Linked DNA regions of Saccharomyces cerevisiae S288C. The protein of the gene in region 2 purifies or fractionates together with the protein of the main gene of each other region. This does not show direct contact. Each region holds a gene or a part of one and is shown on either strand. Other genes may lie near its edges. The genes, in order: SBE22 and CSI2.

Evidence for each region.
Region 1: the proteins of CSI2 (region 2) and SBE22 purify together in Saccharomyces cerevisiae (affinity purification with mass spectrometry, with the first as the bait; one large-scale study listed by BioGRID). This does not show direct contact.

What each region holds. Positions count from the first base shown.
Region 1 is NC_001140.6:315,917-326,384, reverse strand, and holds SBE22 (Sbe22p), read right to left. Parts: upstream 5,972-10,468; coding exon 3,413-5,971; downstream 1-3,412. Other genes in the region: thioredoxin-disulfide reductase TRR2, read right to left, coding at 1-787; YPT35 (Ypt35p), read right to left, coding at 975-1,619; GRE3 (trifunctional aldehyde reductase/xylose reductase/glucose 1-dehydrogenase (NADP(+))), read right to left, coding at 1,993-2,976; putative serine/threonine protein kinase KIC1, read right to left, coding at 6,571-9,813; BIG1 (Big1p), read left to right, coding at 10,417-10,468.
Region 2 is NC_001147.6:310,321-314,236, forward strand, and holds CSI2 (Csi2p), read right to left. Parts: upstream 2,048-3,916; coding exon 1,022-2,047; downstream 1-1,021. Other genes in the region: ubiquinone-binding protein COQ10, read left to right, coding at 1-615; TOP1 (DNA topoisomerase 1), read right to left, coding at 2,758-3,916. UniProt on the Saccharomyces cerevisiae protein: Appears to be a structural component of the chitin synthase 3 complex.

The DNA.
Region 1 (10,468 bases), on a different chromosome or scaffold from region 2:
CTAAATCGTTCTCCACATTACTTTTAGTATTCTTAATTCTCAACATATTCAATAACTTACCATCACCCTTAGCTTCTAATGCAACTGTGTTGAACAAAACAATGATGTTTGGATTTTTCTCAATTCGTCTCTGCATTATTACAGATGCACGAAAATGATCCTTTCTTACTAATATATATACTTTCGACGCATACTTCGTAAGAAATTCCGCTTCCTCACACGCAGAGTCACCACCACCAATAACGGCCAATGGCTTGTTTCTAAAGATAGGGACTGCACCATCACATACAGCACAGGCAGATATTCCCTGCTGCCAGTAGGTTTCCTCCCCTGGTAAATGCATTCTCTTAGCGGAAGCACCCGTGGCCAAGATTATAGCATCAGTGGTCACAGGCTCTGCATCCTCATTAAATTCGGTCCATAATCTGAATGGTTTTGAAGATAAATCGACTTTAGAGACAGTCTCGGTAATTATGTTAGTGCCAAACTTGGCAGATTGTTTCCTCATCCTCTCCATCAGTTCACTGCCACTCAACGATTCAGGAAACCCTGGGAAATTTTCGATATCGGTGGTTGTTGTCAATTGGCCACCAGCAGCAATTCCGTTGGCCATCATTCCCTCATATAATGTGGGCTTCATCTCTGCTCTTGCCAAGTATATAGCAGCGGTGTGGGCAGCGGGGCCAGAACCTATGATTGTAACCTTGTGATGAATCATCCTTGACAGCACGGACTTGCTGATGCCAACAAAATTCGTCCTGAATGGCGAAACTATATGTTTTATCATTGTTTATTTATATTAGAAACTGTGGAGTCCGTTTCGTTCTTCCTTTAATGTTGGACGATCCCCTAAAAGTTTTCATTGCGGTCAGCTCAAGGCATTCCCCATCGAGTGATTAATTAACAACGCGCCCGAGTTAAATGGGATAGTAGTAGTCGATGAGAAGAATAGTCGGTTGGATAGGGATGGTGAGCTATGCAACTCGTTTTGAAGGCTCTAGAAACTGTATGAGTATATCTTTGGTCATTTCTACGAGGCTGCTGTTAAGGATGATGTGATTGAGGAAGTACTCGAGCCCTCTCTGTCTTTTTGCCAGCCAGTCCTTGTTCAGATTCACTTCTTGATATTTCCAAGAACTGTACCACTGCACTGAAGGGGGAAGGTGTGGAATCTGCAAACAGTTAAGTTTCTCAGGTTTCGCTGTCTTGATTCTTGTGAGCAAATTCTCTCGTAATCTGACGAAATCGGAGTATCGTTTATAGGTTTGGATTTTATAGCTTTCCCTCTTGGCCGCAAAAGCCTTCAAGTTGGGTTCAAGAAATACGGTAATTCTCCAGACAGCAAACTTTGTTCCATGGTCGCCATTGACTATGGTGCAATCGCTGACATGAGCCTTTTGAAAACTAAAGTTTGCATTGATAGAACTGCTTCGTCTAGGTCTTGTTCTGGTAATTGTGGCACCGCAATCATTACTATGGCTAGTGCTATCATTGCTGTTTGACGCACTGATGGGTCCCTCATTTTCTTGTTGTGAGTCAATGTCGAGTTCAGGCTCCGTGGAGTCTTCGTCAAGTAGTTGGATGGGTTCGGGAGGTAGAAAGGATATCTTGTCGCTCATATCTTGCTGTTGTTTTAGTTGAAATGGAAGCTGCTATTAATATCCCGATAGATATCCGGTTACTCAAATGATTTTGGGACCGCTTTGCTCTCTTGGTGTCTATTTTAGTATCACTCACTCATCGCCCCCACTCGTTTCCCTTTTAATTTCAATTACCGTTGGGTTCTGTTAAAAAATAGCCAAATTGTCAACCATACAAGAGATGAATTAAAAGCGTGGATGACACCACAGGCAGAAAAAGTATATCCAACATTTTATTTAAAGCTGTTCTGTGTCTAAACAGAAGAGCATGTAAAAATTTATACACATATACAGCATCGGAATGAGGGAAATTTGTTCATATCGTCGTTGAGTATGGATTTTACTGGCTGGATCAGGCAAAAGTGGGGAATTTACCATCCAACCAGGTCCATGGATCATTAAATCTGATGTTGGCATTTAGTGCAGAAATATCCTTCAATTCTTGCTCCGTTAAAGTGAACTTTTTTTCGATTTCTAGGTTGCCAAGTAACCTTTCCTTCTTGGAAGATTTTGGAATGACGGCAATGCCTCTCTGAGTTGCCCATCTAAGCAATACTTGGGAAGTGGTACTGCCTGGATGGTTTTGTGAGACCTTCTTGATTACATCATTCTCGAACAGAGTTGGCGTGGTTTTTGCCAACTGTAAGTCCATCTCAATGAATGATTGAGGACCGAAGGAGGAGTAAGCAACTACTTGGATATCGTGTAATTTACAAAACTCAACTAGGTGTTCTTGAGTCAAATAAGGATGGTGTTCAATTTGCAAAGCCACGGGCTTGATTCTACAACCACGTAATAAATCTTGAATCAAGCTTCCCTGAAAGTTGGAAACACCAATAGACTTAATCAAGCCTTCATCAACACATTCTTCCAGAGCCCGGTACGTATCTATGATTGGTACATGTGCTTCGGTGATGTGACCTTTCTTCTCGTCATCTGCGCCCGTATAGAATCCTGGAGGGTATTTCTCTTCAAATGGAACATATTTGAAGGCGATTGGGAAGTGAATATAATACAGGTCTAAATAATCAAGTCCCATATCGCTTAAGGTCTTCTTTAAAGCTAATTTTACATGATCAGGATGGTGAAAATTGTTCCATAACTTTGAAACAACAAATATATCCTTTCTAGAAACAAGACCTTCGGAGATGGCTTTCCTGATACCTTCACCAACTTCCTTTTCGTTGCCGTAGTCGCAAGCACCATCGAATAAACGGTAGCCTAATTTGATAGCTTCATAAATTTGATTCGCACAGACTTTTTTGTCAATTTTCCAGCACCCTAAGCCGACTAGGGGCATTTTCAGACCGTTATTAAGAGTAACCAGTGAAGACATCTTTAAAAAATTTCCAATTTTCCTTTACGATTTATATTACAGTATTTTCCCAATCGTCTTGAAGGATTGCACTGACAACTATTTGCTTCTATATCCCTTATATACTTCAGTGTACCAGGAGTAATTTACTTGATAGGCCCCCTAGAAGTAGTAACTTCGAGGTTTTTTTTTTTTCCATAAAATTCTTCCGCATGTGGCTTTTCCCTTTTATGACGTATACGTTTACTACCAGCAACAATTGGGAAACAAGTATAGAATCTAGAGTTCCGATAATGAAATATTATAAAAGTTTTATTAAACAGTGAATGTGTAAAGAAAACAAACAACTATATGCTGAGGAGACTTCTAAATATATGCTGAGGAGTTTTCCTTGGGCTCCCTTTTAATCCAGTTTTTTTTTTCTTGTGCATGAGTGAAATTACAGTTACAAAAAATATCAAAACTTCTTGTAGTAATGCGCCCATTTCTTGATGAACACGGCATTTACAGTATCTGCGTCTACGAATTCATCATTGATGAATACTGGAATGCAAAATCTCTGGTCATTCACGTTACAAAGACTTCTTAAATCAGTGAATCCAAAGTGGTAATTTAACAATACATTTAATGCAAATGAAATCAAGATCTTGTAGTTTATTACCACTTTCTTCGAGCGGTAATATTCCCAATCCTTGTTAACAAACTCATCTTCGTTGATTGGGCTATTTTTGTAGCTCTGGGAATTGTTGACTACTATAATATCCATGATCCACATAAAAAGCTTATGATCAATACGTTCTAGGATGTTCCACCAGGTGGTAGAGTTTATACACTCCGTATTAAATTCATCCTTGAACTCCTCGTTTTGCGATAAATAACCGGCTACGACACCCTTACGTTCTAAAACCTTTGCATCGAACTTTTCTTTACAAAGATCATTAAAACACGTCATTTGTACTAAATTAACAATATTCCAAATCTCGTTTAGCCCCAGGTTCTGAAATGATTCACTCACCAAGAAATGATGGAAAAGGAGTTCATCACCGGTGACTATACCCTGTGATGAGATAGATTTTATCTTCAATAAAAGCATCAAATCAGGACATATATCATGTAAACCGCTCACTTTTCGCCTCAAACTTGTTTCGATTAGCTGCGATATTTCAATTTCCTTGTTTTTAGGAAAGTCTCCCATTTTTGTTAAAAGCTCCTGTAGCTCATGAAATGGTTGAATATAGTTTTTGGTAATAAACCTAGTCTTGCTCTGTAAAATTTCGCTGTAAATTGTTGACCTAGTTTCGTCACTAAATGGAGTGTCCCAAACCATTTTACTTAGGCTTTGTAAGGAGGAGTTTCTAGTTATATCTCTGTCCAATAATAACACATATTTTTGCCTATTTGTTTCATCTCTAATCAACTTTTCTTCTCTGTCTTTATTTTTTCCTAGTTGGTCAAGGGAAGCAACACTCATGCTTTTGTTAATTTGCCTTTCATGAAGCTTTTTTTCCTGGCGATCCTTGGGTGGTAACCAACTCGGTCTTGAATGGCTGACCACATCTAGTTTGTTCTCCGAGACAAGTATCAAATCTTCCATGCCTTGATTTTGAGCTTCTTTTAGTTCAATTGGCAAGAAATCGGAAGACTTTGTTCTTTCGGACAGCTTAGATCTTGAAAGCCTATTGGAAGAATGCAAATAAACAGAGGCTAGACTCTTGGTTGTGTCTTGAATGAACTGAAAATCAGTTACTTTGTTCAAACCTGGAATCGGAGACGTAGGCATCTCATTAAAGTCCAATAATGAGGCGTTTGATGTTGTACTCGCAAAAGAGATGTTCGAGTACCTATGATTTTGTTTTGTATAAGAAATTTCAGAGTTATCATTTACCAAACCTCCGGTATATTCTGATAAGTCATTCTTGCCAGCCAAGTTATTCATATCATCGGGCTTAGCAGACGCTAGAAATGAATTAGTAGATAATGATGCCATAGGAACGTTCCAAATCAACGAATCATCAACGTCTCCCTCTTGTAACTCAAGAATTTGTTCTTGACTATCATAAAATTTCTCTTTTCTTTTGATTGTATTTCTTAAATTCATCTCCGATTGCTCTTTACGAAGTCTGTATTTCTGAGACGGAGTTAATGGCTTGCAATTCAAAGGTTTCTGAGATGGAACGTTAAATTCTAATGACGAAGCCTCTATCCGATCACTTGAATTAGAAATTTTGGAGCTTATGCCAAACGTTTTCAGAATGCTGCTGTTGTTATAACCCGTAGACGAGCATGTTTGCGATTTAGCACGTGATCTTTGCTTGCTGTTCAGTAAAGATGACTGGCTTTTCTTCGAGGAGAACTGTTCTTGGTAAGAATGTCTAGATTTATTCATAGTTTTCTCTGCGGCTGTATCATCAAACGACATGCTTTTTTGCAGTGCCATTTTGGAACCGTCCGTAGTTGCTTCCACAATGGTATTATTGCTTGCGCTTCTCATTCCATTTCCATCAGCGCCTCTACCTTGAGTAGCCTTTTCCATCAATATGCTGGGAAAAGTATTTATTTTAGATTTGTCGGCATCACTGCCTTCTCCCTCATCGCTGGTATCTCCCAAGGAGGAAGATGCAGAAGTGGATGAAAATACCTCGGTAGTCTTGGTACCTATTGAGCTATTTGAAGCGGGACGTTCACGTCTTGTTTGAGCAGGGTTGACTTTTGGCGGTGGTAAAGCCGAGTTAACGAATGAATTTAGCATATTTCCCCCATTGCCGTTGTCGCTACAGTTCATGTTTGATAATAAATTCTCACTTGGTCTTCGAGCAATATCTAAGCCTGAAACTTTATTCATTGTATTGCTTCCAGCCCTTGACCTTCCTAAAGTTGTTTGAGACGGTGGACGTTGCACGTGGGATCCTATGATACTTCTTTGTTTAGGAAGCATCTCGCTGGAACGATCACTAGCCTCACCTTCTTTAAGCGAATGCAGATGAGCGCTTGTGCCTCGCTCCTGAATCGAGGTCATTTCTTGAGTAGCGTGGCAAGTTAGACCGTATTAACTAAAGATAAGGACAAATTTGAGTCGAAAAAGTATAAACACGATCACGTTTCACTCTTGAAAACGGTAAAGGATCAACGAATGTATTATTTTTTTTGGTTCTGCTGTATATGACCTTTTCGATTTCTTCTCCACTATATATGGCAATTCTGGGGTAACAAATACAACAATCAGCGTTACAAAAGGTATTTTGGAATGTTTACAGGATAATTATCTCTCTTACAGTGATGAGAATGCTAAAATTTCAAGTGGTAAACATTGGTTGAAACCTCCTTAGCGCTTTCTCAGGATTTGCGCTTCGCACGGTTTTTTCTTCTAGGCGCGTTTATAAGAAGAAAAAATAACGGAAAAAACAAATGGCGAGGTTTGGTAACTGCGCCATTTGCTTTCTTTGAACTAGAATAGCAATAAAGTCCGTAAAGCGCTAACCTTGCGCAGTCGAGTTCCATGTGGTGCTTAAAGGGACTTGTTAAGTTCTGTAGAAAATATATACTTTCACTTTTCTTACATCTTGCTTATTTTTCTTGAATATGTACATAAACAAAAGAATAAACTAGACGATGCTTTTAATGCTCATTATCCTTGATAGGCGTTGAAATAAGTTGTTCCTTTAAAGCGTGTTCAATGCAGGGCAAACCTTCTTCGAACATTTGTAAAAGATTTTCCAGTTCTTTCAGAACCTGGGGTTTCCTGTCTACCCGCCTCTGTTTTCCTGGCAGAAACGATTCTAAGTCCAAGAACATTTCCATTTGTAAACTCTGTGGAGGAGGACACATGCCAAAGCCTAAAGAATTAACCGAGTTTGCAGCTGTTGCGGCGGAACTCAGAATATGATTGAATTGTGTTCCGGATGGAATAGTCTGTTGTGAAATTGGTGCAGTCGTTGATGCCGCGGCAGAACTTGAAGTTGCGATAGTCGTAGAATTGGCTTTGATAGTAGTGTTTCCTGTATTAGCAGAAAGAGGAACACTGTTATTAGGGCCGCTGTTGTTGTTAGAGCCAACATTGTTGTTACCGATACCGGAAACATTGCCGGAAACAGATGAGCCAAGAATATTCAATGGGTGTTCCGAGGCAGAAGAGTTCTTCCTGTTAGAAATGCTTTGACTTCTCTTGATCTTGCCCCCAAAATCAATGTGTTTCTCACTAATTGGAGTCATTGAGACAGGGATGTTGGACGCACTGCTTGTGTTAAATCCAAATTGATTAATATTTTCGTTCGTGGATATGCCAGCGCTCCCCGGCATGCCATTGTTATTCTGTGAGGTTGCTGTATTTGGATCAAGAAGTTTATTTCTCACAACAGGTGTAGGTAGTGGCATTTGTAGTTTTAAGTTTGGGTTGTTGCGTTTAAAGTCACCATTGACCCTTGAGCCTTCCTTTTCGTTGGAAAAGTAGTTTGATGAGGTTAAATTATTGCTGCTATTACCACTAATAGTGTTAAGTGTAGAAGAACTAGGTATGCTGTTCAGAGGTTGCAAGAGAATGTCCTTGTTATCTTTGCTATTGGCCATTGGTTTCATCGTAGGAGGAGGCGCGAGGTTCGTGTGAGTAGAATTATGACCAATGTTTTGGGTTGGGGAACCGGCAGGCTTTCTATTGGGAGAAGTTCCAACTCCAAATAGTGGCCTTGAGGGTGAAGAAGCCTTATGAGTAGATAACTTTGTTACATTACCTGGATTGGTTATGCCCATTTGTGTGCTATTTGCAGTGTTACTACCGCTGCTTCCTCTTGAGTTCTCACTATCAGTGTTGTTGTTATAGTTATTACTGTTGTTCGGAGTGGAGCTGATTCCGGAATTAGAAGCAACTGCGGACCCCAATTTTTGATTTGTTATGGTGCTTGGGCAATGTTCTGGCCTATTGTTACTGACTGTCAACCGCCTGGGCACGTTTGAAGGTGATTTATATTGTATTGAGCTAGATGACGAAGGAGTGCCAGCCGTCACTGTAGATGACCTGGCCTTTGTGCTTGGTATTAAAACCGGATCTGCGCTCGCAGGCGTTGGTAGAGCACTATTCGGTAGTTCTTCAGGAATTTCTATTTCAATAGACGTTGGAGCAGTAGTTAATCCACTTGTTGGAGGGCCCTTTGACGTCTTGTTAAATTTTGTTTGGAGTAGCGGCAAAGCAGGTGTACTCTGGCTATAATAATTGTTCCCACTGGATAAAGGTGGAAGGTGTGGTCGCATTTTATTATTATTGATATTTCCGTTGACCTCGTTGGATATTGAGGGAATGAAATCATCTCGTGAACTATTACCAGCATTTAGAGATGAAATGGATTTGCTTATTTTAGGAGCTTCTGTATTGACATCATTTTCAGCAGTAATAATTTCATTGTCTTCAAAAAGTTCAAGTAATTGTTTTGGAGCCTTACTTTCCAGCCTCTTAGATGATGTCATTGGACCGGCCGTATGTGTTCCAGAGGTGTTTGTAGTTCCAGCTACCATTTTGGAAGGGTATTTTGAGTTCGTATAGTTATTTGTTACTGGTGCATTCAAAGTAGAATTTTGAGCTATTGTACCAGGATAGCCCTTTCCTATCGTTGTCCCTTGATAAACAAAGGGTCTAGTATTATGACTTGTAGGGTCAAAGTAATAAGAATCTTCGTCAGGGTATGCATAGTTGAACAGGTCATGTTGGGCAGTAGCCCACTCGTTGTTGTCCTCAGCCAAAGCATCGAGGTTGATATTATTTTCAATAATATAATCCGACGAACTCAATGAATCAAAATCCCATTTCATTTCCACATCGCCTTCGTTCACTCTCTTAATTTCATTATCATTTGATGCTATTGACTTTTGTGCTTCATCACCCCCGCCATTTTGTGATGGTTTTGGAGCTTCACTGGGTTTTGATGGCTCATTTTCCGGTATACTGCCCTCTATTTTATATTTGTTTTTATTCTTGTCCCTAAATAGTAGATATCGTGATATTAGTTCTTTCAAAATGGACGTTGGCGTCGCCTTGTGGGCCCTGATAAATTTTGATTTTAAAAGATCGTCTGCTGACAATCTCTCCTTTGGATCCTCATCAAGACAAAGCGCAATAAATTCTTTCAAAGATGTACTGTATGATCTGTCCTCAAGCCTCGGTGGTTTCGATTTGATGATTAGTTGCATTGCCCTTAGGGCCTCCACATCGCAGTATGGCGGATTTCCGGTGGCAATCTCGTACGTTGTAATACCTAAAGACCATATATCTACTTTAGTGTCGTAATAAACGCCTTCCATGATCACTTCTGGAGCCATCCAGTAGGGGGTCCCAGCCATAGTTTGACGTCGTAAAGAAGTTTGGTTTACTTGTGCAGCGACACCAAAATCGCATAGTTTAACATTACCTTCGTTAGTGATCAGAACGTTTGCTGCTTTGATATCTCGATGAATGACGTTATCTTTATGAATGCATTTTAATGCTACAAGCAGTTCTCTCATAATAACCCCAATGTACTTTTCATCGATTTTGCCTGGCCTTAACAACGAACGCAGTGAACCACCAGCGCAGTGTTCCATTATGATCCAAAGGCTTGTGTCTTTCAAATACGACCCATAATACCGCGTGATATTGGAAATCTGTTTCAAGGAGGCCAAAAACTGAATTTCTCGCTGCACATCCTCCACCTCGTCAGAATCAGAATCTAAATTTAAGACTTTGATAGCATACACTCGTCCAGTCTTCACGTTATAGCCCTTATAAACCACACCAAATTTCCCTCGCCCAATAACTTCCGTTCTCTTGAAAAGTGAACTCACATCCATCTCTCCTTCGGCTAAACCCTGCTTACTATTTTGTGGCTTCGTCGTCATTACTGCCTGTTCTCTATACGTGTTTTGCTTGCCAGTCGATGGCGCCCAAATTTATACTTTTTGTTTCTTTATCTGTGTACTGTTAAAAGTAGTACTGTTAAAAGTAGTAAGCTCCTTAGAAAGCGGTTCCGCCTAATAGTTCCTAACTTGTTGTATGTGGCTTCACGTAGGACGAGTTGCCTCTGTTCTTCTTTGACTTTTGCCACGTCGGCAAGCTGCTGCTCTTGTTGATGCCTTTAAAGATTGTCAGATCGGCCTGAGATCGACGTGTGGCATGATAATGTTGCTCGATGGGCTGTAAATAGATAAGAAAGAGTGAAACGAATAGAGTAACGAGGCCACAGATGTGGCGAAACCTGGGAGGATATGTTCTAACGTTATCTAGAGTTCTGATAGAGCATTGTATGCGATAGTACCGCTGACATATGTGCATTCTTTAATTATATCGATGATATCATGCAACACGGGTTAGCTCTGTAGTAATGTAAACCTCTCTTAACTACGGCCAAGAATATCAGCAGCGGAGGTTAAGTTGCAGGTTATACCTATCTGTTTTGTAGTTAGGAAACGTAGGCGCATACTAATTAGGAGTAGCAAGGCAAGATGCAAACTGTGTTGAAATATTTGTTGCTTATTATGTGTGGAAGCTTTTGTG
Region 2 (3,916 bases):
ATAATAAGGCCCTCACAGACATTGATATTATTCAGGAAAGCGATGCTCAAGCCAATTGGGAGATATCCTCTTAAAAGAAATTTTTTTGGTTTGAGCGGTACCAATCACACTATTAGGGAACAGCGATATGTTTTGCGCAAGGCCATAAACGCCCCTCCAAGCACAGTCTACGCTGCAGTGTCAGAAGTTGCCCAATATAAGGAATTTATTCCTTATTGTGTTGATTCGTTTGTAGATAAACGAAATCCTGTGGATAACAAGCCTCTCATTGCGGGGCTTCGAGTTGGTTTCAAACAATACGATGAGGAATTTATATGCAATGTTACCTGTAAAGATACTGATCATACGTATACCGTTGTTGCAGAAACAATATCTCATAATTTGTTTCACCTTTTGATTTCGAAATGGACCATAATGCCTCACCCAAATAGACCAAATGCGGCCATGGTAGAACTTCTATTAAGATTTAAATTCAAATCTCGGATATATAACAGTGTCTCTCTAATATTTGCGAAAACTGTGACTGAATTGGTGATGAACGCATTTGCCAAAAGAGCATACCATTTAGTAAGATTAGCAATGCTAAAACCTTCTTCTAAAGAAGGCTCTCCGTGATATCTTCCGTATAATTTCAGATAACAAAGATCATGCCATCCAGGATAAGCGTATGCATGGTTAAATTTTTAGACTATAGAACAAGATTTTTCTGTATAGTTATGTTTATAGTATTTAAGCTTTCTAACAAGCTCCAGTAGGGGCGGAGGATACAAACAAATATATTTTGCTGCAAAATTTCCTGGTCTTCCGTCGCAATCAACAAGTTGATACGCAGATGCACCATTTTATTCATTGGCAAAGTACGATCAGTTTAGTGCTTGTATCTGTATGCGAAAAAAGAATGGTGTACTAAAAACAGCGCATGGTGATGGCGAGGAATTTACACGTATCCTCTCATTAATTGAAGTATTAGGTTTTCGAGTCGCACTTAGTGTAAATGAGGTGTAGAAAGGTGGGGACGCAATTATTCCTTACCGTCGAGCAGTTGATCCAGATGAACACTGGGAGGACGGTACTTCTTTACTTTACCCTGACTAACATTTGATTTTGGAGTAGAGCGGTCTTCAGAGTCGGGACTTAAATTGTATGATGTATAATTGAATGGATTAGTGCTGTCTGTAAACTTTCCCAGTATTTGGGTAGCACCAGGTTCCCTTGGAGTACTGGACAAGGAATCATATATAGCACTCTCATTGCTTTGAGACCATGTATTAGAGTTGTTGGCATCAGATTGCAGAATTTCGGTGGGTGAAATAAACATAGATGATCTGAAGTTATCGTTGGCATCTGTTTTATTGTTCAAAAGATTCAAAACAGAAGTGGATCCTAGAGTATACAAACTCATACGAGATGAGTTATTTTTCAGAACTTTTTCTGATATGTCACTGTCGTCAGAATGGGAAGATGTTTCACTTTCGTCGTCATTAATGTTTGTTTGGAAGTAGAAAGGATCGTGTTGGTATTGATTTTCTAGATTTCTCAGCTTATTTTCCTTTCTAGCACTTCGCCATGACTTTATATTCAATGCAATCCATGCACCCGTCAGTGATAGTAGAATTGCACCTAAACAGCCAGCAAATGCAATGAACACAGTACCGTTAGGATGATGAGCCTGATATAAGAATTTATTTCCGTCCGTAACCGGGATATAAACGCTGGAAGGTGTAATAGATGAAGTTGATATTACACTGTTGTTGCTCCATAAACTAGAGTTGGTGTATAAGCTTGTACTAGCGCTCGTGGTGATTTTGGGCATTTTAGTGCTTGAAGTGACATTATGACTTGACGAAACATCCTTACTGGTTACTGAGCTTTTGCCTAAGGACGTGGTTGTCTTGGCTGAAGAGCTGCCTTTACTAGAACTATCTGCTGCCTTTGTACTACTTGATAAAGAGGGCAAATTTGCAGCGGAGACAAGTTGAAATTCTTGTAGAGCAAACAAATGAAGTAGTAGTATCACTTTCCAAATGGAGATTTCTGGCAGTCTCATTGTGTCGTTACTAGTTTATGTTGACAATCTTTTCCCTATTAATAGTTAAAGACTTTCCTGTTTCACCGTAAAGCGTCCTTCTGCTGATGTGTTATTTGTAAAATAAAGCAAGCTAAGATGTACTACGTATCTCACATCCTTATATTGGAGGAAGCATGGATGCAAATCTTTTTCTTTTTCAGCAGACACTTTTAATAGAACGGAAGGCCCCATCTAGAACAGGAAATTATGATCTGAATTTGTTTGATTCAGCTTAGCATTTCGTGGCTTCTATTTCAATAGAGCGGTTCTTCCTTACAGACGGCGCTGTGTTGACGACTTTTCGTGTAATTCTTGTCTACGCTAATTACTTTTTTTTCGCGATCCTGCCACACTTACACGCAGAAAACGCGAAAACCGCCAAAATTTCGAAGGGCATACATGCGACAAGGGACGGATTCAAGCCGTGTCACTGAGCATGCATTCTTGCAAAGGTTCCAAGTATTTTTGCTTCCAAAACATCAAGAGATACGGACAATACGTTTCTTATATGCAGGTAACTAAGAAATAATAGGAGGGGTAAAGTAACTGTGGCATGATTACACTGCAGTATACTCTTTAAAAGTTTTAAATTATTTCTATATATGTGTATAAGATATCTTCCTAGTAACCCTAATGCGAACTTGATGCGTGAATGTATTTGCTTCTCCCCTATGCTGCGTTTCTTTGCGTTAAAACCTCCAATTTTCATCTACCGATTCTATGGCCCATTTGAATTTTTCTCTTAGGGTTTTTGTAAAAATCTTTTCAATCGGAACATCATACTTTTTGCAAAATACCACAGAAAGTCTAGGGTCTATATAATTGATTTTGGAAGTGCCCAGTGAAACCTGGGAGTTTTCCTCTTTATCTTTCAACTGAATGGAACTAGTTTGGATACGCTGTTCTAATTTCTCTACTTGTGCTTTTATTTTTTCGACTGAATTCCAACTTGATTTCAGTTCCACTTCACCGGTTTTCAATTCCTTTTCGAATTCTTGTTTCTTTTCGTCGACTTTCTCCAACCATTCCTTCAATTGACTTTCCGGCAATAATTCTTCCTTTTCAAATTTCCTCTTATCGTTCTCCCTAACAAATTTTCGCTGATATTTTTCAATTTCTCTATCAATAATTCTCTTGTGAATGGTGGCTTCATCTTCTTTCGTCAAATCGTCGATTTCTTCGAAATATTTTGGCTCTTTCTTTAAAAGATCCTTATCCAATTGTAAAATGGCCCTCTTGCAACGAATCTTTTGCCATTCCAACTCTTGTATTCTATTATTGGCCTTTTCCACTGTTTGTGCATGCCCCTTCGTGACAGTCCTTTGATGGTTACATAGGATGGCTACAGTTCTATTTGCTGCGTTGTACTTCAATATTTTCTCTGCGACAGATCCTTTATTTGGAATTAGATCCAGTTGATCTTGCATTGTTTTGGAAGCATTATATGTACGGAAAACTTTAGCAGTCAATCCCGGCATGTAGTTTTGTAGATATTTGTTCAGTATAGATGGATCTAGACGATCAAACAGTTGATGTCCTGGCTGTTTGGGCGGCCTTTTAAAAATTGTCAAATTTTTGAAAACTTGTTTGTCAACTTCTACCTCTTGATAAAATCTAATAGAATCCTTACCTAAGAAATCAAAGATAACAGTATTCGGAGGTTTCAAAGTAACATGCTCATATCGCAATGAACAACAACCCACAGTATCGGCTTCATCTTCGGATTTTTCACCACCGGCTCTTAAAGCGAATACATCGATCAAATAAATGGCTACGGCCTTTTGGCGCTCTAGCATAACTTTGCTTTTCAAATTTCTCGTGTAATCCCTTCTGATGGCATCGATATAG